3 linked regions of the Arabidopsis thaliana genome follow. The protein of the gene in region 1 interacts with the protein of each later gene in a pairwise test. Each region holds a gene or a part of one and is shown in the gene's direction. Other genes may lie near its edges. The genes, in order: APG8A, PEX6 and PEX10.

Region 1 (9,211 bases):
TGGGTATTCAAAGAAGAACACAAGCAGCCACTTGCATTCATGGGCCATTGACGATGATGATGAAGGCTCAATGGTTCCTCCACATGAGTTAGTAGCAAAAAGACTTGCAAGAACGCAGATCTCATCATTCTCTATGTGCGAAGGAATCGGAAGAACGCTCAAAGGAAGAGATCTCAGCAAAACAAGAAACGCTGTCTTAACAAGAACTGGTTTCTTGGAATCGAATATCACATCTTCATCAACAACATCACCACCATAGTTTTGGCATGGCATGGAGCATGGCTGGATGATCAATATCACATTCACACAAAACCCTTTTTAGCACCATACCATATCATTATCATGAAAAAAAAACCTAAAACCTTATGGTATCCACATGATTTTTATTAAATATCAATGTTATTGTCGTTATCACCATGTAGGGAATCATGACACTACCAATATGGTTGAGTTCTCTTTTTTTTTTTTTGTTGTTGTTGTTGTTGTTGTTGTTAGGTTTTTGGATTTTTTTAGATAAGTATGATGACGATGAGGATGACTTGTCAATCCCATGCATGGGCCCATACCATTTTTCTCATGTTATGTTTGTAGTTCTCAATGGTCTTTTAACTCTTTAGCAGTGCTTAGTGAGCTTAAATTATAGTTTAGCAAAACAAAATGGCATATACTTTGGAACCTTTGAATGTGAGAAATTTGAAAGCACTCTCGATCTCTTCACCATTTTGGCCTCGACCAAGAGAGAAAAATGTAGCGAATAATGTTAACATTTTTGGTCCGACACAAGGTTAAGGGGCTCGTTCCATATTGCTCACTACCTTTCACTTTTCAATGTTATATAGCAACTAGACATGGTGTTACTAGGGGAATGGGGTATATGTATCTGTTATCTATTTCGGTGTGTTGATTTAATTTTTTACTTCGTGTATTCTTGAACCAATCTGCAACTGAAAAAGTTGTATTTGAATTTGGATTAATTCGTTTCGTTGCTAAATATCCATTTCAAGATATACATAATAAATATATTAGTTAATTTACTATGGTAAGATATATTTTCAAGAATGAAGTTGTATAAATAAAAATACTTGTTTCGATAATTTTCAGTTTTATTCACGTCGGTACTATCTCACCCGTACTAAATTTGAATTGCCGACAAACAAAAAAAATGTCAAGTTCGGTTGGATTTTTTATTTTGTTTGGATCTACTCAATATATAAATAGTACCAATCACACTATAAACGAAATTTACTCATCTTTCCTTGGCCCTAGCAACGGTTCATGATAATCATTCTTTCTTTTTACAATTTACTTTTTCGAAATAAAAAATTGTAGTAAAATTACAGTTTCAACTAAAAAAAAATCTTGTACAGAGGTGCCACAAAAATGCAATTCAATTTTATATAAAAATACAACGACAACAAATTTGTTACTTTGTCAAAGCGGATTATTTGGCACGAAAAATTCGTGCGGAACCGCTACATATCATTTTTGTAAATAATTTTCTTCAAAATTGGCTCGTTTGAGTCATAAATAACACCTGATGACAAAAAAAAAAAAAAAATTTTTTTGTTACTTTGTAAACTTTTGCTAACCAAAGCCTATATAAAGGCCCAATTAGCCCAAAACGACACAAAAATGTGTGAAGAAATAAACAGATGGTGGTGACGTAAGACAAGTGTAAGAGATTTCTTGTAATCCAATCAACAAATAATAATAAACGAATTCCAAGTGGTTTACTTATTCCAGAAACAGTTCCGTGTAGGCAACCATTAGGAAAACCCTAACTAAATTCCATTATTAATTTCTTTTATAATCCCTTTCTCTTGACATTGACTTCTCTCTCTCGATTCTTCTTCTCCAGTTTCAATCAAACTCAATTTCTTCTCAACGAACCCTAATTTCCAACAAATCGGATTCAGTTTCTTCTTCGGGTATGTTTCTTCTCACCAATAAATTCGAGATCTTTTAGGGTTTTCTGGGTTTGTTTCTCCCCCGATCTAGCAGACGATCGAGTTTATTAATTATGATCTTTGCTTGCTTGAAATTCGCAGAGACTAATCGAATCGCAATGGCTAAGAGTTCCTTCAAGATCTCTAACCCTCTCGGTTTGTTTCTTCAAATCCCTTTCTCATCGAATTTTCAATTACTTGATTTTTTGTTGAGTTTCTGAATTCTGTTAAAACTTGCTTTAGATCGTGTATGGTTTTGATTTTGGAACTCAATTTTGATTGGTTTTGGGATCAGATTTAATCTCTGCATACGCTTTTGATTCTTCCTTTGTTGTTCGTTTCTCTGTTTTTGTTTCTAAGCCAAGCTGTGAGATTTTATAGATATCTCTGTTTAATGATGTACTTGTCATTAATCTTGTGGTTATGTTTTGTTAATCAGAGGCAAGGATGAGTGAATCTTCTCGAATCAGAGAGAAGTACCCTGACAGAATTCCCGTAAGCTTACAAATTCATGAGTTGATTAACTTCTTTTCACTAAATTTAGTCTAATTTAGAATCTTGGATTGTATGTAGGTGATTGTGGAGAAGGCTGGACAAAGTGATGTTCCTGACATTGACAAGAAGAAGTGAGTAATGGGTTTGCTTTATTTACTCTTTTTCTATATCATAATCTTGATAACTTATGTTTCTTCCACTTTCTTTTAGGTATCTTGTACCAGCTGATCTAACAGTGGGACAATTTGTATACGTGGTTCGTAAAAGAATCAAGCTTGGAGCTGAGAAAGCTATTTTTGTCTTTGTTAAGAACACATTGCCTCCAACTGGTAAGAGTTCTTAAACTCTTTAACACCATTCAGGATCAAAGTTTCTTTCTTTACCACTAACTTTGGTTTCACTTTTGTTTCTTAACAGCTGCATTGATGTCTGCGATCTATGAAGAACACAAAGATGAGGATGGGTTCCTCTACATGACTTACAGTGGAGAGAACACTTTTGGATCTCTTACCGTTGCTTGAATAAAAATCGATCTTTGGATGACTTTGATGTACATACATAAATCAGGAAGATAAAGATGTACATTGCTTCCTTCTTTTCTCTGGCTTTTAACTTTGCTTTGGATGTTTGGATATCTTTCCCTTTGGGTTTATTAATCGTCAGAAACTTCTCCTTTTCTTACTTTCCTCTTTTGCTTTTACTTAAATAACATTGATTTTGGGGCTAATGAGTAATGAGTCACTTTCATATCAAACTTGTTCATATCCATCACAAAGGCAAAAAAGGAGTAATACACTGAAAATTGGTAAAAATAAACTCACAAAAGGCAAAACCTTGGCGTAATTATTTTTAACCACAGCTATACAAAAGGCTAAAGCTCCAAATAGAGATTCTCATCTTCACCTTCTTCATCTGTTCTAGCAATCTGGAACGAGACTGGATGGTCTATTATTGATCTCTTCGTCATCGTAGAGTCGGCGGATTTTATTGCGGATTTACCGAACAAGATTCAAGAAAGATGTCAAAGAATCAACATCTCTCTTCTCTGATGGATACTTGATTGGTCTTGAAGAGTTCTTTGGGAACACAAGTATTGTTGGAAAGCTTCCAAGCTGCAACTCCTTTTTGGCAAAGTCCTTCTGGTCACCATCAGCTCTAAACTTAGCAACCTTCACACCACTTCCTCCCAGCTTATCCGCCAATTCATCGAATGAAGCTTCCATTGCCTGACAAAACGGGCACCACGGTGCATAAAGCACAACGATCCAAGCCTCTTTCCGGTTCTCTAACTTCATCAAATTCTCAATCCCTTGCCTGCTCAAGTTCACAACATTCTCGCTATTGAAGATATCCGCGACTGAGGCTGTCCCGTTGACATTAGCGGTTGCGTTTCCATTGGTATTCTCCTTGATATTCCCTTTGTGAAGGCCACACTCTTTAGCCTTAGCATCTTCCCACCACCATCTCCCTTCTCTCTCATGCTGACCCGGCAAAACCGCTCTCGTGCATGGCTCACATCCGATTGAAACATAACCCGCAGCGTGAAGCGTGTTGACAGGAACATCCATCGTCCTCAAGAAATTCCAAACATCATTCCCTTCAACATTAGCAACCGGATTCCACTTCACCAAACTACCAACTCCACCATCTAATCCTTCAAACACTGGATCAACCTGAACAACAGGAATCTCCGATCTTGTCCCGGGTGATTGATCTTTCCTCTGACCAGTGATCCAAGCACGTAAACCCTTCAACGCACGCCTCAAAGGTCTCACCTTTCTAATACGGCAACACTCCTGGTGACCATCTTCATAGAAAGAGAACAAACCCTTGTTCCTAACTAAAGCTTGAACCTCAACAGCATCAGGAAACATATACTCAATCCGAATACCGTAATGTTTCTCCACGGTATCGAAGAGTCTATATGTTTCTGGATTCAATCTCCCTGTATCCAAACTGAATACCCTATAAGGTCTTCCAGTTAAATGAGCATACTCAATCAGAGCAACATCTTCAGCTCCACTGAAACCAAACAAAACAACAAATCAGCAAACTAAAGGAAAACAAAAACATTCCTTTATTGTATTCTCATGATTCAATTCATTACCTAAAGGCAATAGCAATGTCATTCCCAAACTTCTCAAGAGCTTTATCCATGATCTCAAGAGGAGAAGCATTCTCTAATCTCTTTGCTAGTTCCTCAAAGTCTTCAACTTCCACCACATCTAGCTTCTCTGTAACCTCTGTTTTGTAATGAAGCACAAGATCATTAGCATAAACCTTAATCAAATTAACCAATGATCAATTGAAAAATCAAACCAGAACTTACCAGAAGCAACAATGGATTCCTTTGTAATTGATTGCACATTAAGAGCTTTCACGGAGGATCTCTTCCCGGACAAACTCAGAGAAGCCGCAGAGACATTGGTACGATTCAATAACCTCAATGATCCGATTTTTGTTACTGTATTGAAGAATCAAACAAACAAATTGAATAAGATTCGACATTGATCGAATTTGAACGAATTTAAAACCAAAACACAATGACCAATCAAGGCATTTCTAAGATTCTCCACGAATTTGGTATTGAAAATGAAATAAATTACCTTTGAGATCTGAAGAAGGGAAGCTAGAGCTTGAGATCGCAGAAGAAGAAGATGAAGAAACGTTGATTGCTAGTGCCATTTTCACTCCAAACCAAATCTCTCGAAACAATGTTCTTAAGTTTTTTTTATTTTTGTGTTGTGTTTTTTCTAATTTTGTGTTCTCTTAAGATTTGTTGAGAGAAATGGGATTATAAAAGAAGCAGCTGAAATTTAGGTTCATTGAACCTAGACGTCTTTTTTTAGGTGGCGGCATTTGCTTTTCTATATATCATTGCTTGCGTCACTTTGGTCGTGTGGCAGAGAAAACTAGTCAACTTTGGTCCAAGAATTCTTTTTTTTTCTATTAATGTAACATACACTTATCTCAAAAACATTTTACACGCTTAATTTTATTTTAGAGCTAACAAAAATAATCTAATAATAAATTAATCTAATTTGTAAAATATAAACATGGTGATATGTTTGATTATTAATTTTAGATAAATACTTTCTCGTGTATTCTTTCCTTAAAAATCCGAAAAAACGATCATATTTATAGAATTAACTAAATAAAAACAGTTGAGATTTTCTTTCACTGAGATTATTTTTCGTTTGTTACGATTCTATCATTTAGTTTAACTTATCAATTTATCTACAAAACCTATCGATCTCTTCATTTCTTCTAGAAATTGCACGAACCGATATTTCATAAACCATATTTTACAGTCAAAATTAGTCTTGGTTGAAAAACAAATTCCGATCCTAACCACAAACACTTTTGGGTTCTGTTAAAAACAAACATAAAAAAACATCATACAAAAGTATATCAGAAGCAAACTTGTGATCTTAAACCTTCCAAGATTTCATAAGATCAACAAACTAAATTATTCTTATTCATCAACCAAGTCTATAGTAATCATGATCTCAACAAATCAATTACTTGTCTTCTTTAGCTTTCTCTTCTTCCTTCATCTTCTTTTCCCACCTTCTCTTCTTATAATCAAGCAACATCTGAGGCATCTTCAACATAAGCTTCGCAGTGTTCTCTCTTTTCTCAGCTGAAATTCTATCACATTTATGCCCTTTCCTCTTTGTCCTCATAGCTTTCCTCTCTGGATCATAAGGCCAATCTTCTCCATTAGTCAACACTTCTTTCCTCAGCATAGCCCTCCTTCGTGCACTTATCCCTAACGGTTTCCATGCTCCCATCTCCCAATAACCCCACACACCTTTCGTCAACTCGGTTCTGTACTTATCGAGTTTCGCCCTCCATGGATGTTGAAACCCTGTCACTGTCTTTGCCACAGCTTCTGCAGCTTTTCCAGCCATAACTTCTGCATATGCCCAAAACCACAATTCTTTAAAGATGATAATATCTCATTGTAATCCAATTAGCTCACAATAAGTTAAGAAACCTATAAACTTGCTAGCTAAAAGCAGAGGAGATCAATTGAAGGAAGGTATTATATGATAGTGATGCATAGAAGCAAAAAGATACAAACTTTGAATCCAAAGAGAGATTTGGTGATGCATAGAAGCAAAAAGATACAAACTTTGAATCCAAAGAGAGATCATAGTGAGAGTGAACTTGACACAACATTTCTTACAAATCAAACGCAGATTGGTTGAAATGTTGTTAAAAGAAGAGTCTTTGGAGACTAATTCTTGATTTACTACGCAGAAATGTGATGCAAATGGATCTAAATCCTCTAAAATTAGGGTTTGATAAGCTCAACGCAAGGATTTAGTGACTGGGTTTCGTTAACTAAACATCATCACAATCGATTTCGATTCCAAATCTAAGCCTCTCGAGTACGGGAGCAACTAGGTTCATCAATCTCTTATAGCTTAATACGAATCTACTTAGAGATCGATACGAAACTTGGAATCGGAATGAGAGAAAGAACTTACATAAAATTGGAGATCGGAGACTGTGAGAGCAACTTTGAGAACGCGGCGCTGATGAAGAACGCAGACAAGGGTTGGGTTTTTTGGCGTTAGTAAACCCTTTTCCTATTTCTTTTTTGTTTTCTCACCCAAATTATTTGTAATTACTTAGTATAAATATTTTAAAAATCATGTATATTTCCAAATAAAATTCAGAAGACAAAAAAAGTATAAATAGTACAGGTTACTCTCACATTCTCACTATACAATTCTAAACTAGTGTAGTATTTATATTTAATTTATACAATTCCATCTTCAAAATTTTTTTTGCTTAATTTTGATTTTGATTTTTTAATATACAAATGCAATGTATTTACCACGCCTTAAACTTTTACTGAAATAACTTATATATACTATGCTAGATATAGCGTAAAATCATTAAATTACATATTTGAGTTTTTGAAAAAATGTAAATATATATAAATTAATAAGCTTAATTACAAATAGGACCGTCCATTGTGTATATAGTATTGTGATTGCATAGTCTAAAGTATTATCTTAAACGAAATTGAAAAATAACCAACTTTCTTTTTTCTAGACGGGTCACGATAAATGGTTAATTTTTAATAGATCACTAATACAGTAAATCACTGTAAATCTGATAACTTATTTCATCCATAAGTAAGTTTGTATTGCATTTGGGCTACTACAGAACCAAAGGATACATTATTAGGAATAGGTGGAGAGAGACAAAAAAAGAGTATTACTGGCCTTCATGGCCTCTTTGTGAATTGTGGCCTTATATATTAGGTAATCAATTGGCCCATTCCAAAGAATGTTTCGTTCATTCTTATACATTACTACTACATTGCTAAGTGCTAAGCCCCCCAAATAGCAAATTCTAGAATAACTTTTACATGTTTTGCCACTTTTTTATTCCGACAAATCACGATTTATCCATAGGAAAAGTTGCCAACTCACCCAAACAAACGCTAACATCCTTAGAAATTAAGCAGTTGATGATCATTACATGTGTTTTTGGTGTCATATGACGGATTCATCAAATCATGTTAGAATGATGATGTTGGAAAAGAAACACGTAAGTAGATAGCATTGATTGAGATCTAAAATTGCATTTAGTAACGAAGATCCCGTCGATTCCGTCGTAATAACTAAAGCGGTGCATGGCAATATGTATATTATTAATATTCATTGAGGAATGAGGAACTTTCCTACACGTAACGAATATACAATAATATTCCTAGTTAGTCCAAAATGTTGGATAAATGTTCATTCATGAGTTGTGAAAAAAAGAAACTAAAATAATTTCAAAAATTGTTAGTATTATTATAATTATTTTTTAACAAAATGTTTCGGTTGGTGTCATATTCTTAAAGAAAAAACCAATAATCACCATTACAACTAATTAAGCTTAAAACCCATAAATCACAAACTTTTCAAAGGACTGACTTCCTTCTACCGAAATTATCGGAACTCATTGATGACATAACCAGACTTGCTTTTGTCGAATGTACCTATGATTACAAAACATGACACATTATACATTCACACATACATGAGTTTTGGTTATTTCCATTATGATATATAATATCACACTTCAAATAACAGACTTTTTCTTGTTTGTCTTTTTCTTCAATCTTTGCTAATGGTGCAGAATGGTACTCAAGCACGTGAAAACGCAGAAACTCGTATCATCCGCTTCATTTCCACGGTACACCCTCACCTTCATAACTCCGATCTGTGATCTCCACCGTCCAATAGCATTGACTTCAGCTCAATATTTAATCCGGCGGTCCAACTATTCAATTCAAGATTTAACAGAAGCATGTGATTCTTACCTCCTGACAGCTCACACGCCGCGTTTCAAAACACCTTCACTTGCGGACAATACGGAGCAATGGTCGATGTACTCTTGACCCAAAGAAGGCCCAAACATCTTTAAATAAAATTAATTGTAAACTTTTTGATGAGTGAGATCTAAAAAGAGTAAAAAGACAGAGAATCTTATGATAAATTTAATATTTGTTTTGCTATTGTATATAACCAACTATTATGACATAGTTTGCAATCCAAGGTGTTACACCGAATCGGTAAATAACTAAATACTAGCTTGCTCAATCTAATAGCTAGAGCTAATAAGAAAAATGTATTTCGTTAGGATAAATAAAAATATCATTATGTTTACTTGAATATTTGAAAAAAAATTTGGTACATGTAAACGAAATTTCCCAAACAATATTCTAAAGTGTGAAAGGATTTAAAAATGACGTTGACTTT
Region 2 (12,525 bases), on another chromosome or scaffold:
TACAAAGTTTTATATATATATTAATTTTAAAAAATGAATTGTCTCCGCGGTGTACCGCGGGTTAAAATCTAGTGCGTATGATTAACGAAGAAAAAAATAGAAGAGGTCAAAACGGTGTCGTTGTAGGACGCCAAATTGAAACCGTGTCGTATCAAAGTTCTAGAGAAATGGAACATGCAACTTTTATACAAGTCTTTAGCAAAAGACCGACAAAACACATCATCGCTCACATTCACAAACACGACTGTATAGAGCTATACATGCACACTCAATCACAAATCAAACCCTCCAACGATAAAAACCCATTCACTACACAAAGTGAATAAAAAAGGTGAAGATTCTATTCTTTCTTTAAAGATCAAGAAACAGAGTGTCGTCTTTTTCTCTGAAACAAGAAACGGCTTTCAGAACTTGCCTTGCCACTCAAGGAAGGTTTAAGACTACTGAAACTGAAAAGAGAATTGAGTTTGCTTATCTTTTTAGCAAATGACTTGAAAAGCTTAGTCCCTGGATTAGATTTCACGAGTTCTTGTTTAATCGAGATATGATCTTTCTCTAGATCAGTTAATCTCATCCTCATCCTCGCAACCTCAAGCTTTAGCTCTCTGTTTTCTCTCCTCACTGACGCATAGTTATCTCTAGGAGATATTGCTCCACTTCCTTGTGATCCAAACAAACAAAAAGTGTTTCAGACAACATCAGATGATGTTACTAGAAGAGGTTTGACATAGGTTTGCTTAATGCTGAGTTTACCTGCTCCACTTCCTGACCGTTGAGGAAACTGATGACAGTTACTGTTGAATAGAAACTGAGTAGGACCTATGCTACTGCTCATTGCGTTTCTGAGTCTGATCTGCTCAAAGTACAACACTTGTACGGCCATTTGCACAGGTAATCTCTCGTTTTGAGCTGCGTGGCTACAAGCTTCTTGTGATAGTTTTTGTGAGTCTATCGTCTTACAGAGACGATAACGCTCTGAATCCTTTATATTCGGATGAACCTGTCAAAAAATAAAAACTTTTAATGAGTTTTGACAGTTTCTAGAATATGAGATTGATGATTTTTCTTACTTTGAGGTAAATGTCAACGGCTCGATAGAGTCCATCACTGATGATACGAGCATGATCTGGTAAGAGTTCTGCTAAAGCTATGAACTTTGAGGTTGTGAGATTCGGATCCATAGCTATCTCAGCTAGATAGTTATCCATTAGCTTCGATACTTTCAAGATAGAGCTCTGTTTTGGAGACCCGGGGCTGTCAAAATCGTAGATCATCTCTGTTTCATCTCTAAATTGAAGATGATGATGTTCTTCTTCTTCGTCGTCTTCATCGAGGTTCAAGAATATAGAGAAGATTCTCAAGATTGAATCGATGTCGTACATGGTGTTGTTTGTTCCATTGAGATTTATCGGAATCAAGACATCTTCGAGGATGGCTTGGTCTAATTGCAGACCGATTCTTCGTTCTAGATCTGATCTACATGATCCTGTAGAAGCAGATGACGATGTTGCGATGACCATTTTGAGAAGACTTGAAAGAAACGCCATTGGAACAGAGCTTCTTCTTCCTTGTGTAGGAAGTAACCTCACAATTGTTTCCACAATCAATCGCTGTTTCTTCTTACCTTCTGAATCAAGAACCCTTTCTTTCTCCAGTTTCGGATCGCGAACAATGAGCCCTTGAAGAGACTTATTCGTGTAGCTTATCAGAATCTTGCTGATCACGTCTTGTATTAACCCTTTAGACTTAACCGCAGAGATAACCCTCTGAAAGAAATCGAGGTTCAGAACAGCTAGTGACTTCCCCCACCAGTCTAATGGAGTTTGTGGTTCGATATTTGTACCCGAGAACGAATAATCGAGCTTTAAAAGACCCGATGTTAGCTGTTCTTTGCAGGCATTGTTGGCAACAGCTATGATTAACCGATTAACCAAGTTGAGATCTTCAGAGACTGGGATTAAGGTTTCGCAATGATGTAGAACGATGATGGAATTCAAAATACTGGGGAAGATTGTCTCTTTCAAGAAATGTTCTGTTTTGGAAGCGAGATTCTCCTCTGAGAAATCCTCTGTCATCTCTAGATAATGAGATGCACAACGGAGCTTAGCTATATTAAGAAGGTTGATTTCAATGTTGATTCCATAACAGAACTTAGCTGCGAGCTCAAAAGCCTCTGATCCTCCAGGAGCATTTGAGAGACAAACATTCGATATTTTTGGATCCGCGAGAAGCTTTCGGATTTTTCCACTCCGAGACACAAGAGGAAACTGAGAAATCAAAACAACAAGTAACAGTTGAAAACTTTCAATACAACTCAAGAACAGAGGATACTCTGTTTTAATGTTCTTAAATTTGCTTTTTACCTTATGAAGACAGAAACTCGAAGATCCAACTTGAACTGTCAGATCACTAGAGACATCGGATATCGGCCTGCGAAAACAGATAAAAAAACCATCAAGATTAAGCGAAAGGATTTCTGAATTATGAATCAAAAGATCTTTTGTGTACTTGAATTCCATGACTCCGACGCTAAGATTCTAGGATAACGAAACAGTGAATTTATCGCCAAAAATAGTGTTATTTATTCCTGGTTTTAGAGACATTTAAAGATTCACAGGGGACATGTAAAAGATTATGTCTACATCAAGCTTTTTCAAATGAAGACAGAACTAGAACCAGATGAAGTGTTAATGTACGGATATGTTCCACATATATACAAAATAAGATGGAGAAATTATTGGTTTCGATGAACAGTAAGACTTTAACAAGAAATGACTTTTGGCTACAGATTCACATCACATACAAGATTGCTATAATTCTTCAGAAAGAACAAATTTTTTAGTCTTTTTCTGACAGTTTTATCAAAAACAAAGATGTGAATGCAAAAAAAAAAACAAGAATCGTTGTTACTAAATTTGGATTTCATTTGGTGATAATAGTTACAAAACTGGTTTTTGAAACAGAGTATATATTACCATTCAGAGGCATGTCTGATGGTTGAATTCAGACGAAACCCTCTCTTTCCTGTGAAAGCTGGCTTCAATTCTCCGACTGTAACAAGTCCCATCTCTCTCTATTCTCGTAGCAGAAGAAGAAGGAGAAGAAGAAGAAGAAGAAGAAGAAGAAGAAGAGCTCTTGCGGTTGTAATGGCAGTGAATGTACGTAGTTAATGGATGTAAAAAGGTAGAGAAAAAAGATTTGGTTAAAATTAATCTGCTAAGTACGTGTAAAGCTGAGATCATTATTATCACAGATAAAATTAACTTAAGGAATAACAAACAATACATGCAATGTACCTACATTAAGTTGCTAGCTAGTATCCTTTGAGGCATTTCCATCCATTATTATGGGATAAGTGAGGTTTCTTCTATCATCATTATGTCTACTCTCTTGTTTTTCAATTTTCGTTTCAATTTAACAAAAGTTTAAGATGATCAATCATTTAATTTTTCTACATACTGCTTTGTCCACTAAAATTTATATGGAATATATATCTAATGCAAAGTTTTCTAAATATAACGATACATAAAGAATATATTAAGTGTCAAGTGAATAATTTTGGTGAGACCAAGCTTTAAGATCACTCCATGCTTTTAGTTTTTGAAAATGTATATTTGTTAGTGGTCCAAACAAAATTAGGGCCTTTACTTGCTTTGGTTAGAAAAATAGAAAAGCAGTAGTGATTACACCGATTGAGATTTATATTTTAGCTTTAAGGCTGTTTATGTAATGATGTTAGGCTGATCGAAAATTCTCGAGCCCCTCGAAACCTATAATTTGTTTTTTTAAAATATTTATGCTAATTATGATTCCAGGTTAATTTTACTAAACAGATTATAGTAAAACTTTGATTAGGAGGAACAAATAGTACAAAAAAACAATAATCAGAAAATATAATAATATAAATACGAAAAAATCCTTAAGTGGGGCCAGTACCATCTGATCCTCTTCAGTCTTCATCGGTTCGCGTACTGTGAATTTTCTTCAACGGAACTTGAATCTTCTGATGGAAAATTAGGGTTTTTGTTTTTATACTTTTTTTCTGACTCTTTTGAGTTTTGAGTAATTGGGAATTCGATTTGATTCCGTTGCAATGGTGGAGAGACGGAATCCTCTGGTTCTATCATCCACAAGAAGTACTCTCCGTTCAGTGCTCAATTCGTCACAACCCAGCTCTGCCGACGGCGACCGAGTTCTGAATAAAGACGGTGACTTGTTACGAGGGAACGCTAGGTTGTCTGCGGGCATTCTCCGGTGGCGGAAGGACGGAGAAAATGTTTCCGATGCAAAATTGGATTCTTTAGATGACTCTGCATTGGTTGGACTCTCCACTCAATTGCTTAAGAGACTATCTATCAACTCTGGTTCTTTGGTATGTCCTTCTCATCTTGTTCAGTCAACAAAGCTGGATCTTTTCTGGATAATTTTGTTGCTTTTGATGTTAACAATTGAGTTTTTAAAATGCAAGGTTGTTGTCAAGAACATTGAGATAGGCATTCAAAGGGTTGCGCAAGTTGTTGTACTTGATCCTCCCAAGACGACGCTGGAAGATGCATCTCTCACTCAAGTACCTGTTTCGGACTCTCTTCATACGATGCTTGTCTTTCCCACTTATGATTTGATGGGCCAGCAGTTATTAGATCAAGAGGTTGCTTACTTGTCCCCAATGTTAGCTTTTAATCTTAGCTTGCACATATCTTGCCTGAAATCCCTCGTACATCGAGGGAACGGGGTCTTAGAGAAGTATTTTGAAGCTAAGTGTGATGAGGAGTTTATCGGAAAATCTGCAGAAGATGGGTCGAAGATTGGTTTGGATTTGGAACCCGTGTCCCAAGTTCCAGGCTATGCATCACATCTGAGAGTTTCTTTTGTTAAAATCCCAGAGTGTGGTACCATCCCATCCCTGAAAGTCAATTCGTCATTTGAAGCTGAAGAGCGACAAGGGTTAATAGATTCTGCATTACAGAAGTATTTTGGAACTGATAGACAGCTATCAAGAGGCGATATATTTCGCATTTACATTGACTGGAATTGTGGTTCAAGCATTTGTAATCCATGTAGTCAAAGGTTGTGCTCCGAAAGCGACGACTATATATATTTTAAGGTAATATTGGTTTTCATTTTTGCCAGAAAAATGCTCATTTTGGCCAGAGCTTACTGAAAACTTAGTTCATCTGCTCAGGTTATTGCGATGGAACCTTCTAATGAGAGGTTTCTTCGAGTGAATCACTCCCAAACCGCCCTTGTCCTTGGAGGAACTGTATCTTCTGGTCTTCCACCAGATTTACTGGTGTATAGATCAAAGGTTCCTATGCCATTGCAGGAGGAGACAGTAAATATTTTGGCATCGGTGCTTTCACCACCTCTCTGCCCATCAGCACTCGCCTCAAAACTCAGGGTTGCTGTTTTACTGCATGGTATACCAGGTACATTTGCTTCGGTTTCATCAAGAAAATACTTCACTTTCATATATGTTCTTAAGGGTTAAACTATTTCTGGAAACAATGTTAAGGAAAGACTAGTAAGAGACTATGTTTCTGTGTTTACAGATTATGGTAATTTGGGAGAAGTCATAATTCGACCTTTATGCTCTATGCATATAACTGAATCACGTGCTAATAGCTTTTTGTATCTATTGCTTGTTTAAGGGTGTGGGAAGAGAACTGTTGTTAAATATGTTGCTAGGAGGTTGGGGCTGCATGTAGTTGAATTTAGCTGCCACAGTTTATTAGCATCATCTGAGAGGAAAACATCTACTGCTTTGGCCCAGACTTTTAATATGGCACGAAGGTAAAATGGTATACTTTTTTTCTTTTCTTTCATGTATTCATTATGAACTGCATTCAGTAAATGGCCGTGTTTTAATGAAGTGCAAAATTACTTACATTTTTGTAAATATTGAGCTCTTCTTTCTGGAATAGTATTTTTATCCACAACTTGGTGAATGCCTTGTTTTCATTGTCACAGGTATTCACCAACGATACTTTTGCTTCGCCATTTCGATGTTTTTAAAAATCTGGGCTCTCAGGATGGTTCACTGGGTGACCGAGTTGGTGTGTCCTTTGAGATTGCATCGGTTATTAGGGAACTCACTGAGCCAGTTTCTAATGGGGACAGTTCCATGGAAGAAAAATCGAATAGCAATTTCGTAAGATTTTCATTTCTTTCCTTGGTTCTCCATTGCGCGTTGCACAGTTTCACTTAAGTTCACTTTTCCGTTTTCCAAATCGTTGTCGCATAATCCATTTTAGCTAAGCTCTCAAACAACTCATGATGGTTTTAGACCTCGTACTCTATAAAGTAAAGAAAAGAGAAAATATTGCTCTTCGAAACCCTTTTCCATGATGCTTTATCTGTATATGTGCTAATGCAGTCTGAAAATGAAGTTGGAAAGTTTAGGGGACATCAAGTGCTGCTAATCGCATCTGCTGAAAGTACTGAGGGTATCTCTCCAACAATCAGGCGTTGCTTTAGCCATGAAATACGTATGGGTTCTTTGAATGACGAACAGAGATCTGAAATGCTGTCTCAGTCCCTCCAAGGCGTTTCTCAATTCCTTAATGTATGTGAGTACAATGCTCCAAAACTTCAAGTATTTGTTTTATGATATAATTTGAACTAAATTAAATTACCTCTCATTGAAATCTTAGAGATACTAGATCCATTTATTCTTCCATTTTCAAACTAAAGTTAACAACTTCAGGCTTGATGGATAGATATTTTCACATTGTAGATTAGCTCAGATGAATTTATGAAAGGATTGGTGGGACAGACTTCTGGCTTCCTTCCCCGGGACTTGCAAGCTCTTGTAGCTGATGCTGGTGCCAACTTATACATCAGTCAAGAGTCCGAGACCAAGAAAATTAACTCTCTGTCAGATGATCTTCATGGAGTTGATATACACCAGGCAAGCCAAATAGATAACAGCACTGAGAAATTAACAGCTAAGGAAGACTTTACCAAAGCTTTGGATCGATCAAAGAAGAGAAATGCATCAGCCCTTGGTGCTCCTAAGGTAACATTCACAGTTTTCTTGCTGTGGTGTTTTCTCGTTTGTTTGTCTATTTATGAGACAAGTTTGCATATTTTTTTGTTACTGGAGATGCACATAACTTAAAGGTTTATTTGTATTCGTAGGTTCCAAATGTGAAATGGGATGATGTTGGTGGGCTTGAGGATGTGAAGACATCGATATTGGACACAGTTCAACTACCTCTCCTGCATAAAGATTTATTTTCGTCCGGATTGCGTAAACGTTCTGGTGTACTTCTCTATGGCCCTCCAGGAACAGGGAAAGTAAGTAAGCCATTTTTTCTTTCACTTTTAGCATCTCTTAATAGTCTGTTTTTTGGCAGTTATATTTTTGAGTTTTTGAATTAAATTTACAGACTTTACTGGCAAAAGCTGTGGCGACAGAGTGCTCCTTAAATTTCCTCAGTGTAAAGGGTCCAGAATTAATCAACATGTATATTGGAGAGTCAGAGAAAAATGTTCGAGATATATTTGAAAAGGTAAGTTATATTTCTTCTTCCCTAGGAGAAGCATATTGAGTCTTTGGTTCTGATTCTTAAACTAGTGTGTTTTCTTCAATTGCAGGCAAGGTCAGCGCGACCTTGTGTGATCTTCTTTGATGAGCTTGATTCTCTTGCTCCAGCTCGAGGTGCTTCTGGTGATTCTGGAGGAGTCATGGATCGAGTGGTATCTCAGATGCTTGCAGAGATCGATGGACTCAGCGACTCTTCCCAGGATCTGTTTATTATAGGAGCAAGCAACAGACCTGACTTGATTGATCCAGCTCTTTTACGGCCTGGCAGATTCGACAAACTTCTATATGTTGGAGTCAACGCTGATGCGTCTTACAGGGAAAGGTTAGGCATTTAAACAATCAAAAGCATGTCCAAAGACAAAAAAAATTAGAAGCTTCCTGATTCTTGTTTTTGACAGGGTACTTAAAGCACTGACTCGGAAATTTAAGTTAAGCGAAGATGTATCTCTTTATTCAGTAGCAAAGAAGTGTCCCTCTACATTCACCGGCGCTGATATGTACGCCTTGTGTGCTGATGCTTGGTTTCAGGCAGCTAAGCGAAAGGTGAGAGGGATAGGGTTGAAATTTAAGACTATATAAGTCTCTGTAAAAGCTTTTATTGAAATCGCTTTGTATCTGCATACTTGGCAAATGCAGGTGTCAAAATCGGATTCAGGGGATATGCCTACAGAAGAAGATGATCCCGATTCAGTCGTTGTAGAGTATGTGGATTTTATAAAGGTTAAAACTCTTTTCCTTCATCTACTCATCAAAAAGAGTTGCCATTTTCATGGTTGAGTAGAAATGTTAATTTGTTATGGTTCGGTTTTATCAGTCGAGAGTTATAATAGTTTCCCACTTTGTCTTCTTTGTAGGCAATGGATCAGCTCTCGCCATCACTCTCCATAACTGAGCTTAAGAAGTATGAGATGCTTCGAGATCAATTTCAAGGCCGTTCGAGCTAAACCCCTCTCAGTACATAAAAATTAGCTTATAATGAAGACATTTCATATTTTTTTCCCAGACTATTTTCTCTGAACAGTTCTGTTGATTTGGTTAGTCAATTGATAGTAAAATTAAAGAATCAATAATGTAAAATAATTTTCTTGGTTTGAATTACCTTTGATTGGTTACGCACAAGTGATTCTTCGCTTCCATAGTTCCATGTAATAATATAACACACAAGTGAAGCAGATTATTCAATGGTAAAAGGTTTTCTTAAAAAAATTTCCACAACGGTTCATAAAAGAATTCTGTTTTTGGTTTGGGTAGGAAATAAAATCATCAGTTTGTTATATTAGGTTTGTGTTTTATATTATCTGTTTGATTATGGTGTTGTTAGTAATTTCAGAATATTTTCTCCAAACAATTATTTCAATTGGCATTCCAAAAATAGCGTTTTTGTTTTCCACACGTGACTAAATTCCATTAATTACGTGAAGCATAGAATCCATATGGCGAAAGTTTTTTAAATTACAGTAAAAATTTTTATGATTAAGGAGATTTTACTTGCAAAAAAAAGACAAATCTTTGAAGACTGAAATGACGAACTTGACCACTATGACATCACTTGTCACGTGGGATTTGCTTTGTTTGGGCGAGCTGGTCCGAAATCAATTTTTTTTTTTAGGAAATTATTTTTGTTGAGTTAATTTTTTTTCCTCTTTTTCGTTTGTTCGAGAAAACAGAGAATGAGGAATCAAAAAACGGAATTTTGAATTTGCAACGTGAGGAACCTCCTCTGTCGTTTCGATCTTCAAGTTTTTTTTTAAAGCTTTCTCTCTTCAAAGCTCTTCACGTGAGCTCTCCCAAATCTGGGCGTTATTCGCTTTCTGGATTCTGAATCGCATTATCCAACGAATTCAGCTGATTGATTTTATCGGGCTGCTTTGTTCAAGTCTCTCTATGTAAATGGGTATTTAAGAGTTTTGCTTATTCTCTCGATCGATCTAAGTTTTTTTCTGAGGAAATTTGGAAGATTTTAGCTTCTTCGATTGATATGATATATATAGGTTTGGGTTTTAGATGATTTTGGTGAGTAGTAGCGATGCTAGAAGCGAATTAGGGTTAGGGTTTGGTGGATTAGGTGAAGAAATCATGCAAGATTGTGACTTTGAGGAAGAAAGTACACATTCTTATGTTTCTTGCGTTGACCCAGATGTTGCTCTCTCTTACATTGTAAGCTTCTTCTGACCTCTTAACTATGTTTTCCTTTTCTTCTTCTACAACTACTACTTAGATAGAATCCTTTCTTTTTTCCTTTTCTTAAGGATGAGAAACTCGAAAACGTCTTGGGACATTTTCAGAAAGATTTTGAAGGTGGAGTTTCTGCTGAAAATTTGGGTAAGTTTTCTTGTATATTTAAACTTTGTTGCTTTCTCTTATGTTCATTTATGAATTCAATGAATGTTTATAGGTGCAAAGTTTGGTGGCTATGGTTCCTTTTTGTCTATGTATCAGAGATCTCCTGTTTGTTCACGTCCTAAGACTTCACCAGAAGTTCAACAAAACCAATTGGTAAAGATCATTAAACAACTCAAACTTCGACTAGAGCTTGAATTTAAGCTTTTATAGTGAATGTCATTTTCTGTTTATAGGGTGGTCGATCTAATTGCTCAGCTTCATCACTAGTACCTCAACTATCAATATCCGGATCCGCTTCAAAACCTCCTGCTTCTGATGTTTTGGTCAAATTAAACAAGTTTGTCAAATCAAGTCATATAGGGACACCTGATAGCAAACACATGTCTGACGCAAAAACTTCTTCTTCTGCTCCATCAAATCATAAGACTCTCAGGTTTCGTATAAAAGTTGGTTCAAGTGACCTCTCGTCACTCAAAAACGTTTCTACCTTTACTAAAGAAGGCCTCAATATGCTACCATCAGCATCGCGGGTGAATTGCCTCTCAGAAGTTGAACAAGATTTACTGAATGGGATTTGTGATTCGCCCACTAAAATTCTTATGGTGATTTTGTTTTCTTTTTCTGTTTCTTCCTTCTCCTTAAAGATTGAACAATGATGAATATGAGTTTGACATATACCTTTGTGTGTGTAGGCTATGGTGTCATTCCCTTTGCATAAAGATCAGCTGTTATCACCTCTCTCTGATGATCTTATTCAGTTGGGATCGAAAGAAAAGATTTTGAAAGATGCTGGATATGGTTCTACAAACAAGACGGATGCAAAAAGTACACCCGATGGTTTAGTTGTTTCTGATTCACAAAAGCGTGCTGGTAAGTTTCCTATTGGGAAGAAGGAAAAGTTAAGGGATAGGGTAAAGTATAGGCCACCGTCAAACAAGCTTGACAGAAATCATACCGTATCCAATACTGAAAAAGAGGCTGACAAAGAGTCCTGTGAGGAGCTTGTTTCCAAGACTATGAAGCTTCCACTTTTATCCTGTCTATCACCTTCATATATCCACCCGGCAAAAGAGATTGATAACGTATCAGATTCTAATGTGGAGAGTATATTAAGAGGAACGAACAAAGATGCAGCTTTGATGGGTTCAAAGCCGGAACTAGAAGATAATGTAGTGGCATTTTCAGATCGAAGTGTTAAGGAAACTGAAAGTATTAACGTAAGAAAAGACGTGTACCTGATAAAAGGTGAACCTCTAAACTCATTGGAAAGTAATCCCAAGCGGGAGAAAGCTCCAAGTATTGAACATGTAGATTATTCTTCTGTGGTTAAGGGTACTCAGAGTGAGACAAGGAATGAAGAGCAAATTTTAAAGTCAAAACTGCCTAAAGTACAGAGGTCACAAAAAGGTTCAAGCTCCATTGTTACCATGAATAGTCAGAGAGGCAAGGACGCTGCTGTAAATATAATTAAGAAGAATGTACCAGATAAATTGCAGGAAGATATTGAAGAATCCGAACACATGTGTAAGGGATTCTTTGGTGATTCGAAAGAATCAAAAGAAGAAAAACAAATTAGTCCCGTACTTAAAGCTGAGAAAGAAAAGCTTTCAGAAGAAAATGCATTGGGCGAGAGTTTCAACAGTGTTAAAAATGATGAAGAGGCTTGTGATCATCTAAATTTGGTATGTGAACCTGATTTGAAACACCTTATTAAGCCGAGTGACTTGAATGAAGATAGGCACACCACCAAGCAGAGTGTTAGACGGGAAGTGAAAAATAAGCATTCTCTTGAAGGTATTATTTGTGAAAGATATTGATTTTCCTTATAATATTTTCTTTCTGTTCAAATTATCTGATCTGCTTGATGAATACGCATGTAGGAGGAATGGAGAATATGGGAATGGAATCTGAAAGGGAACTTTCTGGGGTTTCTAAGAAACCAAAGACTGGAAAATCACGATTTTCCGCTGTAGATCAACCTGGATCCAACAAATCCAACCAAATTCTGGAAGTTTTAGATACTAACAAAACTATGATTACTCAAGCCTTAGCCGAAAATGTCAAGGATTTTGCTAAGGCTTCCTCGCATGGCGAACGTGATGACAGAAAGAGGAAACTGAAGGAAAATGAGGAAAGTGGAGATTGTATGAGACTTAGAGAAGCTGCAGTAATGGAATCAAGTGGAGAGAACGTTAGAAAGAGAAAGAGGCTTAAAGGTTCAAGTTGTGATGAAAAAGAGTTGCCTTTTAGTAGTGAAAGCTGTGATAAGGAAAGAAGTGTTAGTCAAGAAAATGGTAGAGATAGTGCTTCTCATCTACCTTCTACACTGTCCTCTCCGAGTTTGTGTAAGGATTTGGGCTCTGAAATTATCAAAAATAATGTCCGCGAAAGTAAAGGTTCACTAGTTGAATCAGTTGCCCCTTTGGCCTTGAGAGTGTTAGACTCAGGTGAGCTTAAATCAGGAAGAATTTCAGAAAGGGATGAGTACCATGATACTGATTATAATGCTGGTGAGACGTTAAAAAGATGCCGAGATGGTGAGGCTTATAGTACTATCGATAGACCAGGGACAACAAAGAAGGCTGCAGAAGATTCCAAGGATAGAGAAAGAGCATATGGGGAGGATTGTTCAATTG
Region 3 (11,015 bases), on another chromosome or scaffold:
GGGTCTATTAGCTTTTAAATCGGGTATAACCAAAGATCCTTCAGGTATTCTAAGCACTTGGAAAAAAGGTACTGATTGCTGCTCTTGGAACGGTGTCAGTTGCCCTAACGGCAACCGTGTCGTCGTACTCACTATCCGCATAGAGTCCGACGATGCCGGAATCTTTCTCTCTGGCACAATCTCTCCGTCACTGGCCAAACTCCAGCATTTGGAAGGGGTCGTCTTTATCAATCTCAAAAACATCACAGGACCATTTCCACCATTTTTATTCAGATTACCACATCTAAAGTATGTTTACCTCGAGAATACACGTCTCTCTGGTCCTCTTCCAGCCAACATCGGCGCGCTTAACCGCTTAGATACATTAACCGTTAAAGGAAACCGGTTCATCGGTTCAATCCCGAGTTCCATATCCAATTTAACTCGGTTAAACTACCTAAATCTTGGCGGTAATCTCTTAACCGGAACAATACCGTTAGGGATTGCTAATCTCAAGCTCATTTCGAATCTTAATCTCGATGGAAACCGTCTCTCTGGAACCATCCCGGATATTTTCAAATCAATGACTAACCTTCGAATCCTCACTCTCTCACGCAACAGATTCTCCGGGAAGCTCCCTCCGTCGATTGCATCGCTCGCGCCGGTTCTTGCGTTCCTTGAGCTAGGTCAGAACAATCTCTCGGGGTCGATACCGAGCTATTTATCAAGATTCGTGGCGCTCGACACACTGGATCTCTCCAAGAACCGTTTCTCTGGAGCCGTGCCGAAGAGTTTGGCCAAGCTGACTAAAATTGCTAATATCAATCTCTCTCACAATCTTCTAACCAATCCATTCCCTGTTTTGAACGTGAAGAATTACATCTTGACTCTAGATCTGTCGTACAACAAGTTTCACATGGAAACAATCCCGGAATGGGTGACCTCAGCGTCGATCCTCGGCTCTTTGAAGTTGGCTAAATGTGGAATCAAGATGAGCTTAGACGATTGGAAAACAAGGCAAACTGATCTCTACGTTTCCATTGATCTTTCGGACAACGAGATCTCAGGGAGTCCACTGAGGTTCTTGAAGGGAGCAGAGCAACTACGGGAGTTTCGAATGTCGGGGAACAAACTCCGATTCGATTTGAGGAAGCTAAGTTTCTCGACGACGCTCGAGACGCTTGATCTATCAAGGAACTTAGTGTTCGGGAAAGTGCCGGCGAGGGTGGCCGGATTAAAGACACTTAACTTGAGTCAAAACCATCTTTGTGGGAAACTTCCGGTGACAAAGTTTCCAGAAAGTGTGTTTGCCGGCAACGACTGTCTATGCGGCTCCCCGCTAAGTCATTGTAAAGGTTAATGGATTCATTCATCGTCATGTTATATTGTTTTTGAACTTCATGTGTCACAAGTTCCATATTCTTCTTTTGTCTTTGTTTAATTTTCGTATTCTCTTTAAGTTCCTTTATTTACTGATTTTGTGTTACTGATTTTGGTATATGAATATCGCCACACAACACCTTCAAATCTTCTAATTTTTTTCTGAACTAATCAATTATAATGGAAAAGTTTCTAGAAAACAAGTGCGCTCTATACGTATAAAACAAGGTGAGACAGATTCGTGCATCGTTTATTCATGTGCAAATGTAGCTTATTATGTTGTTGTAGCTTATTTGCGATAAAAACATAGCTAGAGATTTGTTGTTGTAGCTTATTTTTAGCAAATGCGTTAGAATTTTTTTCTATATAGTTACTGAAATATAAAAAGGATGCTAGTAATTAACGAGAGAGTCGTATAAAACTATAAATTCAATATTTCTTTTATTTGTTGAACAACACGAAAAGGGAAAAAAAAATGCAAGTAATACGGGAGTGTCATATGAAGAATTGAAAACATATTTCCATAAGCCAATTGGATTTAATCAAGCAGAGACCGATGTTGTAGTTGGAGCAGGGTTATCGAACTCAACACACATTTTTAGCAGTGGCACTTCAGCGTCATCACCATATTCATCAACAAGGGATATGACAATCTTGGACTTATCCTTCTAATTAGTTTAAAGAAAGAAAAAAAAAACCGTCAGGCAAACCAAGTAAATATACTATTGTGGTTTTTAGATTGTTCGGTTTTAAAATACATTTATCAAAGTGAAACCGTTTGTCCAAAAATTAAAATAAAAAATACTTACATGAGGGAGTGACTGCAAACCAGGAACTTTGGAAAGAGTTAACACAAATTTTTCGCCAGGTTCAATAGAGCATGGATCCTCACCCATCACATCACTGAGGTCGTAATTTATTATAGTGCTATTCACATTTTCATATTTATACAACACATGTATAGTTGCTCTATAGATGATGTAGCCTGTAAACACAAATATATTTTCTTACAAGATAAGATATTGGAAACTATAAATGAAAACAATTAAAAGAATAGAAAATATTACGTACTATCATCACTTGTAAAGCCGGATATGGTAATGGTTGGCTCGTCGTAAGGCCCAACAGGGTATGGAGAGATCTCCACACGTGTGACGTTCGTAATACCGTAATTGTAGTCAATAGGTGCATCTTTAGTCGCACCGATTTAGAGCATGTTAACAATTGTAGAAGTTATCAGTAAGTCATGGCAGGTAAAAAAAAAACTTGGATCTACATCCTAATTTCTTACAAAAATAAATCCTAAATTTCTTTATTTGGAAATTTGGTATGTCAAATGATAGGGTCATAGGGGTAAGTGTTTCTTTATTTATTTATTTGTAGGATTAACAAAAGATAAATCTATTTTAAATTTCGATCAGATTTCAAATTGTTTGATCTATCTTTGAATATTGGAGGAACTCTGGACCTGCAATATTTTAGTTATAATACTCAGTTCTTGACTTATACACCACGGCTCTCGAAAACCACACTGAAGGAAAAAAAAAAGAAAAAAGTCTTCGGTGAATACTTCACAATTATTGGGTTATTTTATAGATGGGAGTACTTTCATAGTTTCATTGATCTGTTCTTTCTATATAAACGTTTTCACAGTAGCAAAATACTCTATTTCTGTTTTATGGAATTGACGACTAATGTGAGTTCCGGTTCAAGATTTATTTGGTAAAACAAAAAACAGAGATAGGAGCAAACCACAATCTATGAAATTCAGGCATATTCTTTTCATTGAATTGACTTATCAAGTAACAAGAATTGATGTTCTATATAACAATATAAGACTTAACAAAAACGATACTTACTTTTGCAGTTTTCAAAATTGTATGCGCCGGCGCCAAAAGCAGATAAGAAATAGAGTGATGATAGGAGAAGCAGAACAGGTTGGGCGTGAGATATCGCCATGGGTTATATCTTCGAAAGATAAAAAAGATTAATGCCTGTTTTGTTTTGACAAACAAGTCTGTAATACGTATGCTTAAATTCATTCATGCCTAGTATTTTATATAGTCTATATAATATAATATTCTGCTTAACTAGTGGATGATTCATCCCTATATAATAATCTTCCACGTTATACTTATTCCTATATGATATAATCCTAATTTATACGTGAGAATCTTAAAAAAATGAGTGTTGCCTGAAATCTCAATATTTCAAATATTACCACCTTTTATATACAAGGACGTGAATTCTTTTAGATAAAAAAAAATCCCAAAGATGGAGTTGTTTGACTGCGACCATGTCTGTTGGTTCGGCGTGATTTCCAAAACACAACTGTTATTAGCATCATACAAAATTTAAAACCGATCACAAACCGAAAAAACAAAAATGTATGCATAGATATACATTGCGCTTAAACCATATACTGGGGAACTAAATGGTCAACGTTAACGCAACATGGCATACAAATCTTATTTTTGAGATAAGATGAAATAGTAATAAAATAAAATAAACCATACCCGAACCACATGGTCGAAGCTAAACACAACCTGGCAAATACTTTCATTATTAGAGGTTTTTGTTTCCCCACTTTGAGATGCACCACCGGTTAAATAGGTGAATCTTTAATTTCTTCGACATGAACTCACACATGCCTGTGAATTGAAGAATTTGGTCATAGTTGGCAATACCAATGACATTTTATTTATATTTTGGTTAAAAATACAAATGACATCTAAAGTCATATTCTAAAATCTCGCTTTTAACGAAGCATATAAATATATCTGGATATTACTTTGATTCGGTCCACTAATTAAGCAAAATATTTTAATCTAATAGACTATAAAAATAGTAGGCATGAATAACATGTTTTATGATATATATATATATGATTTTGTGTTTTTTTGGATTTGTGGTTTTAGGACTTTAGGATTTTAAGATGTTTTTTTTTTTTAATATCTAGATATTTTTTAATTTGTTACTGAAATTTTTTCTTGGTTTTATTATAATATGTTTTTTAGATTTTTATTACTTATAAATTTTTCTTTTATTTTTATCTAGATATCAATATAACCAATTAAACCAATAAATTTTATGGTTGTGGATTTGAGTATATAAATTCAACTTATATAAATACATGGGTTGGGTCAAACTCGTCTATTAAAATCTCAAATCCATGTGGGTTTGGGTAAGGTTACTCATTTTGACATCTTTGGTTAAAATAGTTACCTCTAGTTTTGTTTCAGTCCCACATCTCAATTTGTTTTAACACAGTCATTTCGTCGAACACCTCATATGCGTTGTTGTTGTATACTAAATTACTAATACTTTAAACAAAGACTAACAAAAATGGCTTAATTCGATAATCAAAACCACTATTTGGATCAAACGTTGACTAATCTCACTTAAATCACTCTTCTGTTTTCCTCTAATGACGGATGAAGAACAGAGTTAGTTTTCAAGGTTTATCCACAGATCCACTGAAATCAACAATGGTGAATAAAGCTCCGAAGAGGAAACATGTATCACCTGAATCTCTCCTTCTCTCTATTCTCAATGATTTGTTGTTTCTAAATTCTCAAAAGCTTGACTCTTGTTTCCGTAGAAAATCGAATTCAGATGCGTGTAGCTTTATAGTTAGCTTAAATTTTGCAAAAGTTGGAAATTTTACTTCAAGATCCAATGAAATTGCTCCATTGATCAATGAAGCTGTTGCTAAAGGCAAGAACTTTGATACTGGGTGAGGACAAGAACCTTGTAGATACTGTTTTTCTTTAAAACATTTGTGTCTAAACTACATGTTTTGTTAGGACAAGAGTTGGATTAGATGTTGGTCATCTTCTTAAATCTGCATTAGCTGGAGGAATCTCATGTGCTTTCTCTGCTTTTTTGATGCATCCAGTGGATACTGTCAAGGTATAATGGTAATTTCATTTCAGGTTCTTCTTTTGTGTTTATGAGATTGTTCTGATTACTTACATTTGTCTTGGATCATTAAGACACAAGTTCAAGCATCAACTACATTGTCGTTTCTCGAAATATTGTCAAAGATTCCAGAGATTGGTGCTCGAGGTTTATACAAAGGCTCGATTCCGGCTGTTGTTGGTCAATTTGCTAGGTTTCATCTCTTATGCTTTGCCTTGTGGTTATTGGTTATAAGCATTATCATGATTTCATCTCTTGTTTAAACATTTTTCAGTCATGGTTTACGAACAAGTATATATGAAGCAAGTAAACTTGCGTTACCGCTCGTTGCTCCTACTCTTCTTGATATTCAAGTTAGTAATTGTAAAAAGCTCATTGCCAACTTTATTGCTACATAATGTTTCGTTCTTTGAATTTTTTTGCTTCTTGATTATTTTAGGTTCAGTCAATCGCGTCTTTTATTGGTACGGTATTGGGGACAACGTTGCGAATACCGTGTGAAGTGTTGAAACAACGGTTACAAGCCAACCAGTTTGATAACATAGTGGAAGCTACAGTTTCGACTTGGCATCAAGAAGGGCTCAAAGGACTCTTTCGTGGGACCGGTGTTACCCTTCTACGTGAGGTTCCCTTCTACGTTGCTGGCATGGGACTTTACAACCAATCAAAGAAGGTAATCATGATAGAACAGAACAATGACATGTCTTTGTGTAATTAATAAGACGTGGTTGCGATTGAGTTTCACAGGTGGTGGAGAGACAATTAGGAAGAGAGTTGGAGCCGTGGGAAGCCATCGCGGTTGGAGCCTTGTCCGGTGGTTTCACTGCAGTTTTAACAACGCCATTCGATGTGATTAAAACAAGAATGATGACGGCTCCACAAGGCGTGGAATTGTCGATGTTGATGGCTGCTTATTCAATTCTCACACATGAGGGTCCTCTTGCTTTCTACAAAGGAGCTGTTCCAAGGTTTTTCTGGACTGCTCCTCTCGGAGCCTTGAACTTAGCTGGCTATGAACTTCTTCAAAAGGCTATGATCACACCTCTGAATCAATCAGTGCATAGTGAGTAAGATTGGAAAACTAGACCAACATTTTGTGTTATAATAATTTATTTCATGTTTATGTATTCTAAATCTTGAGAAAAAAAAATATATTCTACAAAAATAACATAATTTACTTCTTTTTTTTTTTCTCAAGTGTAGTATTGTATTAAACGTAACCCGATCATACACGGGCTACACTAAAAGCCCCACGAAAAGTTTACAGAAATATTTGAGGCCCAACAAGAGCCTATCGGATAACCGCATACTGCATAAGAAAATTTGTTTGTACTCCACCTAAGCCCACGTGTCAGCAACTGGATACAACCACGACACATGCTGGATGAGTAATCGAAAGATTTCCGACATCAACCTTCGCCGTTGAGCATCGATTTCGGTGAGAAGATTATCGCCGAAATATAATCGGTCGTTGAATCCTTTGTTTGTCACCGTTGCTAAGCTAATCGAAACTCCAAAAAGAAACTAACAGCTTTAAGGCAATCATAATATGCTTCGAAAGATTCTTCTTTCCTTATGTCTCTGGAAAGATTTCTGCAAACCAAAAGCTCAAAAGAAACAAGTCGGAGAAATCCATTCTTTAAGTGACACAACACCTAAAACATCATCACCAACTCAGATCTAATGAGATTATTGAAACAAAAAAACTTAACAAACCCAAAACTGGCCGAAGACACCGTAAACAAGACGGCAAATCGCCAGACATAAGCCAGCCAACACTACTTTAGAAGCTAGTCGATGCTGGACAGGAGCCGGATAAACCGGACGGCGAGGATAGAACATGCATATGAGATCACGATCGGACTTTACCAAAAAAACAAACTCTCTCTCTCAAAAGTTTTTGAGAGAGAAGAGAGAAAGTTTTCGTCAAGGTTAATATCTCCTTTAATAATTTAATTATGGAAACACTTTGCTCGGATTTATTTTTAACATAATTTACTTAACATCATGTATTCTAAAAAACTAATCAGCTCACCCGAATCGATTGACTATTACAAAATACTGCTTAATATAGACAAATATTTGATCATAAAAATAATTAAAAAGATTATAATTAATAAAATATTATTGATCTCATATATAAATGGCATCGATACATTTGCAAATATTTATTTTTCCTTTGAATTAAAAAAAAATATCAAAGGCCGAATAAAAAACATCATTCGGCAAGTTCATCGATCCACGAAAAAAAAGAAACGATGAGGCTTAATGGGGATTCGGGTCCGGGTCAGGATGAACCCGGTTCGAGCGGGTTTCACGGCGGAATCAGACGATTCCCGTTAGCAGCTCAGCCGGAGATTATGAGAGCTGCTGAGAAAGACGATCAATACGCTTCTTTCATCCACGAAGCTTGCCGCGATGCCTTCCGACACCTTTTCGGTACAATTTTTCCGACACCAAACCAAACAACAACAACTGTCTACTTTAATTGCTTCATCGTTATTGTCCAATTAATAACTAATTTTTATCACTCTTAGGTACAAGAATCGCTCTTGCTTACCAGAAGGAGGTAATATACACTAAATTATATTTGTCTGAGTTTCCATGAGATTTTTGATTATTTGTTTTTATTGTTTTTGGATAGATGAAGCTACTTGGACAGATGCTTTACTATGTTCTTACGACAGGTTCAGGGCAACAAACTTTAGGAGAGGAATATTGTGACATTATACAGGTTTTTGTTACTTTATACAATCTTCCTTAAGTGTGCTTCTACAAAACCATTTTACCTTCTGATGTAGAATGATATAATATAGGTTGCAGGGCCTTATGGACTCTCTCCTACACCAGCTAGACGTGCTTTGTTCATATTGTACCAGACCGCAGTTCCATATATCGCAGAGAGAATTAGGTTTCGTCGCATTTCTTATTGTTGTTTTACAAAGAAAAATTTGAATCTTGTCCGCTGATATTGATATAATTGTCTACAGCACTCGAGCTGCTACGCAAGCAGTCACCTTTGATGAGTCTGATGAGTTTTTTGGTGATAGTCATATCCACTCACCAAGAATGATAGATCTTCCATCTTCATCTCAAGTTGAAACTTCAACTTCTGTAGTATCTAGGTTAAACGATAGACTTATGAGATCGTGGCACCGAGCTATTCAGCGATGGCCTGTGGTAATGTATACCCCTCACGTTTAATTTTCCATGGTTCGTTCACTTGTTTTCTGCGTAGCAAATGTTGTTTTATACAAGGTTTTGTGCCTTTTAGGTTCTTCCTGTTGCCCGCGAAGTCTTACAACTGGTTTTGCGTGCCAATCTGATGCTCTTCTACTTTGAAGGTGAATTTTGTGAGAAATATTTAACTCATGTAGAGCATGTTCTGAACTAGTAACCTTTGTTTCTTTTCAGGTTTTTATTATCATATATCGAAACGTGCATCCGGGGTTCGTTATGTTTTCATAGGAAAGCAACTGAATCAGAGACCTAGGTAATGATTTTTTTGTCTTCTTTTACACTTGCAACTCTTGACTTTTACTATCACAGAGTAACTGAACTCCCTTAAGTCTTGTTGAGCAGATACCAAATTCTTGGGGTTTTCCTTCTAATCCAATTGTGCATCCTTGCTGCTGAGGGCTTGCGTCGGAGTAATTTGTCATCTATCACTAGCTCCATTCAGCAGGCTTCTATAGGATCTTATCAAACTTCAGGAGGTCTGGCTCTCATGTCCTTGATTATGAATGTTAATAATCTAGAATTTCCCAACATTACGGATATTTGTGGAGGATATATATGTTAGATTGTCAGTACTATAGTTTCAATAAACTATGGTCTAAATTGGCATCATGGTAAAAGTTTGTTAGAAAGATACATGAGAGAAGATAACATAGGCTGAAATATTCTGCTTGTTATGCATCACCCTATTTCACATTACAGTAATATAGTTTTGGTATTGTTCTTGCAGGGAGAGGTTTACCTGTTTTAAATGAAGAGGGGAATTTGATAACTTCGGAAGCTGAAAAGGGAAACTGGTCTACCTCCGATTCAACTTCAACGGAGGTAAAATATTTATAAATAAGTTAGAAACTTCTGTTACTTTGTAATGGCTAATATCTTGAATAGTGATCATTATTGGGAAAGGACAATAGGTAATAATATACTTGGAAGAGAGGCACATAACTCTGAGCAAAATGTATTATGCTCTTACGCAAAGGTTATGTTGTATAAGTGTGATTAAGAAAACCAAAATGATAGTTTACTCTGTTGGTATGAGTATCTGATAAGAGTAGATGGCCACTCGACTGATCCCGCTCTACATATAGTTTCTAGCGAGACAAGGTTATATGTTAATCCTATTTTGAGACTATTCTAAATTTAAAAAAACTCCAGAGGGGTTTATTTTTCTCTCGTTTTGATGAAATCAATATGTTACCACTTGTTATGTTAGGTGTTTACCTTGCTATGTACTTCGATTGCAGGCAGTAGGGAAATGCACTCTCTGCTTAAGCACCCGTCAGCACCCAACGGCCACTCCTTGTGGTCATGTGTTTTGTTGGTAATAAACCTTCCTCTACCGTAATTGCTTATTTTGTCCTGGGCCTGATCTGGAACGAGTTAACACCTACAAACCTTGATAAGTTTCAGAATCCAGAGAATTTCAATATCTTGATGTCCATTGGTTGAAACTGCTTTTGATAAGATGAACTTTGTATCGAACATTTACTCGAACTACAAAACCTAAGATCCAAAAGTTGACACCGGAACATTGTGCTCATTTTGAAAGTCATGTTGTCATGTGCAGGAGCTGCATTATGGAATGGTGCAACGAGAAGCAAGAATGCCCTCTTTGTCGAACGCCCAATACCCATTCAAGTTTGGTTTGTTTGTATCATTCTGATTTTTAGGCACAATGGGATCAACAAAGACAGGCACTGCAGAAAGGCAAAGCAGCTAAGACAGTGACACCTAAGGACAGTGCATCTGCTACAGGAATGGAATCTGCTTCGGCTTCAGACTTTTTGAGTAAGATCAACAAGTTATGAGAGAAGACAGAATAAATATATTTCTGACATCATTCTCGATCCCATGCCTACCTTTTTCTCTATGATATTTAGTGCAGAAACCACAGAGGTTTGTTGTTTTACATTTCATTAAAAAGAGTTGGAGATGTTAGGTGGTCTTTCACATTCTATATTACATATAATAATCTCAATTGGAGATCTATTACAAGACAAGAAAATCTCATATTAGGCACAATACCATTTTAAAATGTTAGGTGTTGTTCGTTTAATCAGTTAGGTAGTGCCTCTGGGTGATCCATCCAGAAGATCCATTCAGATGCATCATTTGGATGATGTTCGTTTCTGAAGTTGATAGTGCATCTGGATGAATCATTTGAATGCAGATGTGTTCGTTTGAATTGTTTTTTAACAATGTGCATCTGCATCTGAATGCATAATGTACCAAATGACTAAAAAGGACATATATTTATTTTAGTGTAATTCTTCAAATTTTAAAGGAGTATTTTAGAGATTTACCATTTTTGACTGCAGCTGATGCATCTAGATGCACCGATCAAAGTCAGCTAAATATTTTAATTTTTTTGAATGAGTTTTATAAACTCAGCCAACTGATGTATCAAACTATTCTGTTATATTGTGTTCAAACGAACATCAGTTATCATCTGCATCTAGATGCATCAGTCAACTGATCAAACGAACGACACCTTAATC

Evidence for each region.
Region 2: the proteins of APG8A (region 1) and PEX6 interact in a protein complementation assay, tested with the Arabidopsis thaliana proteins (one study listed by BioGRID).
Region 3: the proteins of APG8A (region 1) and PEX10 interact in a protein complementation assay, tested with the Arabidopsis thaliana proteins (one study listed by BioGRID).

What each region holds. Positions count from the first base shown.
Region 1 is NC_003075.7:11,653,848-11,663,058, forward strand, and holds APG8A (Ubiquitin-like superfamily protein), read left to right. Parts: upstream 1-1,765; 5' UTR 1,766-2,020; coding exon 2,021-2,102; intron 2,103-2,385; coding exon 2,386-2,441; intron 2,442-2,519; coding exon 2,520-2,572; intron 2,573-2,651; coding exon 2,652-2,770; intron 2,771-2,858; coding exon 2,859-2,962; 3' UTR 2,963-3,187; downstream 3,188-9,211. Other genes in the region: AT4G21970 (senescence regulator (Protein of unknown function, DUF584)), read left to right, coding at 1-259; APR3 (APS reductase 3), read right to left, coding at 3,437-4,463, 4,549-4,684, 4,771-4,905, 5,048-5,126; AT4G22000 (tyrosine sulfotransferase-like protein), read right to left, coding at 5,963-6,355. UniProt on the Arabidopsis thaliana protein: Ubiquitin-like modifier involved in autophagosomes formation. May mediate the delivery of the autophagosomes to the vacuole via the microtubule cytoskeleton.
Region 2 is NC_003070.9:684,022-696,546, reverse strand, and holds PEX6 (peroxin 6), read left to right. Parts: upstream 1-3,886; 5' UTR 3,887-4,093; coding exon 4,094-4,372; intron 4,373-4,468; coding exon 4,469-5,104; intron 5,105-5,182; coding exon 5,183-5,426; intron 5,427-5,648; coding exon 5,649-5,790; intron 5,791-5,967; coding exon 5,968-6,148; intron 6,149-6,373; coding exon 6,374-6,562; intron 6,563-6,733; coding exon 6,734-7,015; intron 7,016-7,137; coding exon 7,138-7,296; intron 7,297-7,388; coding exon 7,389-7,511; intron 7,512-7,596; coding exon 7,597-7,868; intron 7,869-7,944; coding exon 7,945-8,089; intron 8,090-8,182; coding exon 8,183-8,266; intron 8,267-8,400; coding exon 8,401-8,490; 3' UTR 8,491-8,752; downstream 8,753-12,525. Other genes in the region: AT1G03010 (Phototropic-responsive NPH3 family protein), read right to left, coding at 359-660, 754-1,000, 1,071-2,267, 2,364-2,430, 2,976-3,067; AT1G02990 (uncharacterized protein), read left to right, coding at 9,551-9,703, 9,796-9,868, 9,942-10,042, 10,123-10,491, 10,582-11,683, 11,770-12,525. UniProt on the Arabidopsis thaliana protein: Component of the PEX1-PEX6 AAA ATPase complex, a protein dislocase complex that mediates the ATP-dependent extraction of the PEX5 receptor from peroxisomal membranes, an essential step for PEX5 recycling.
Region 3 is NC_003071.7:11,216,939-11,227,953, reverse strand, and holds PEX10 (peroxin 10), read left to right. Parts: upstream 1-7,446; 5' UTR 7,447-7,538; coding exon 7,539-7,719; intron 7,720-7,817; coding exon 7,818-7,849; exon of another isoform or gene 7,850-7,924; coding exon 7,925-8,014; intron 8,015-8,096; coding exon 8,097-8,191; intron 8,192-8,270; coding exon 8,271-8,460; intron 8,461-8,554; coding exon 8,555-8,624; intron 8,625-8,694; coding exon 8,695-8,773; intron 8,774-8,862; coding exon 8,863-8,996; intron 8,997-9,247; coding exon 9,248-9,342; coding exon of another isoform or gene 9,343-9,357; exon of another isoform or gene 9,358-9,423; coding exon of another isoform or gene 9,424-9,435; exon of another isoform or gene 9,436-9,761; coding exon 9,762-9,838; intron 9,839-10,084; coding exon 10,085-10,187; 3' UTR 10,188-10,515; downstream 10,516-11,015. Other genes in the region: AT2G26380 (Leucine-rich repeat (LRR) family protein), read left to right, coding at 1-1,339; AT2G26370 (MD-2-related lipid recognition domain-containing protein), read right to left, coding at 1,902-2,027, 2,169-2,344, 2,431-2,550, 3,219-3,318; AT2G26360 (Mitochondrial substrate carrier family protein), read left to right, coding at 4,794-5,095, 5,166-5,271, 5,355-5,473, 5,555-5,633, 5,720-5,953, 6,028-6,351; AT2G26340 (uncharacterized protein), read right to left, coding at 10,963-11,008. UniProt on the Arabidopsis thaliana protein: E3 ubiquitin-protein ligase component of a retrotranslocation channel required for peroxisome organization by mediating export of the PEX5 receptor from peroxisomes to the cytosol, thereby promoting PEX5 recycling.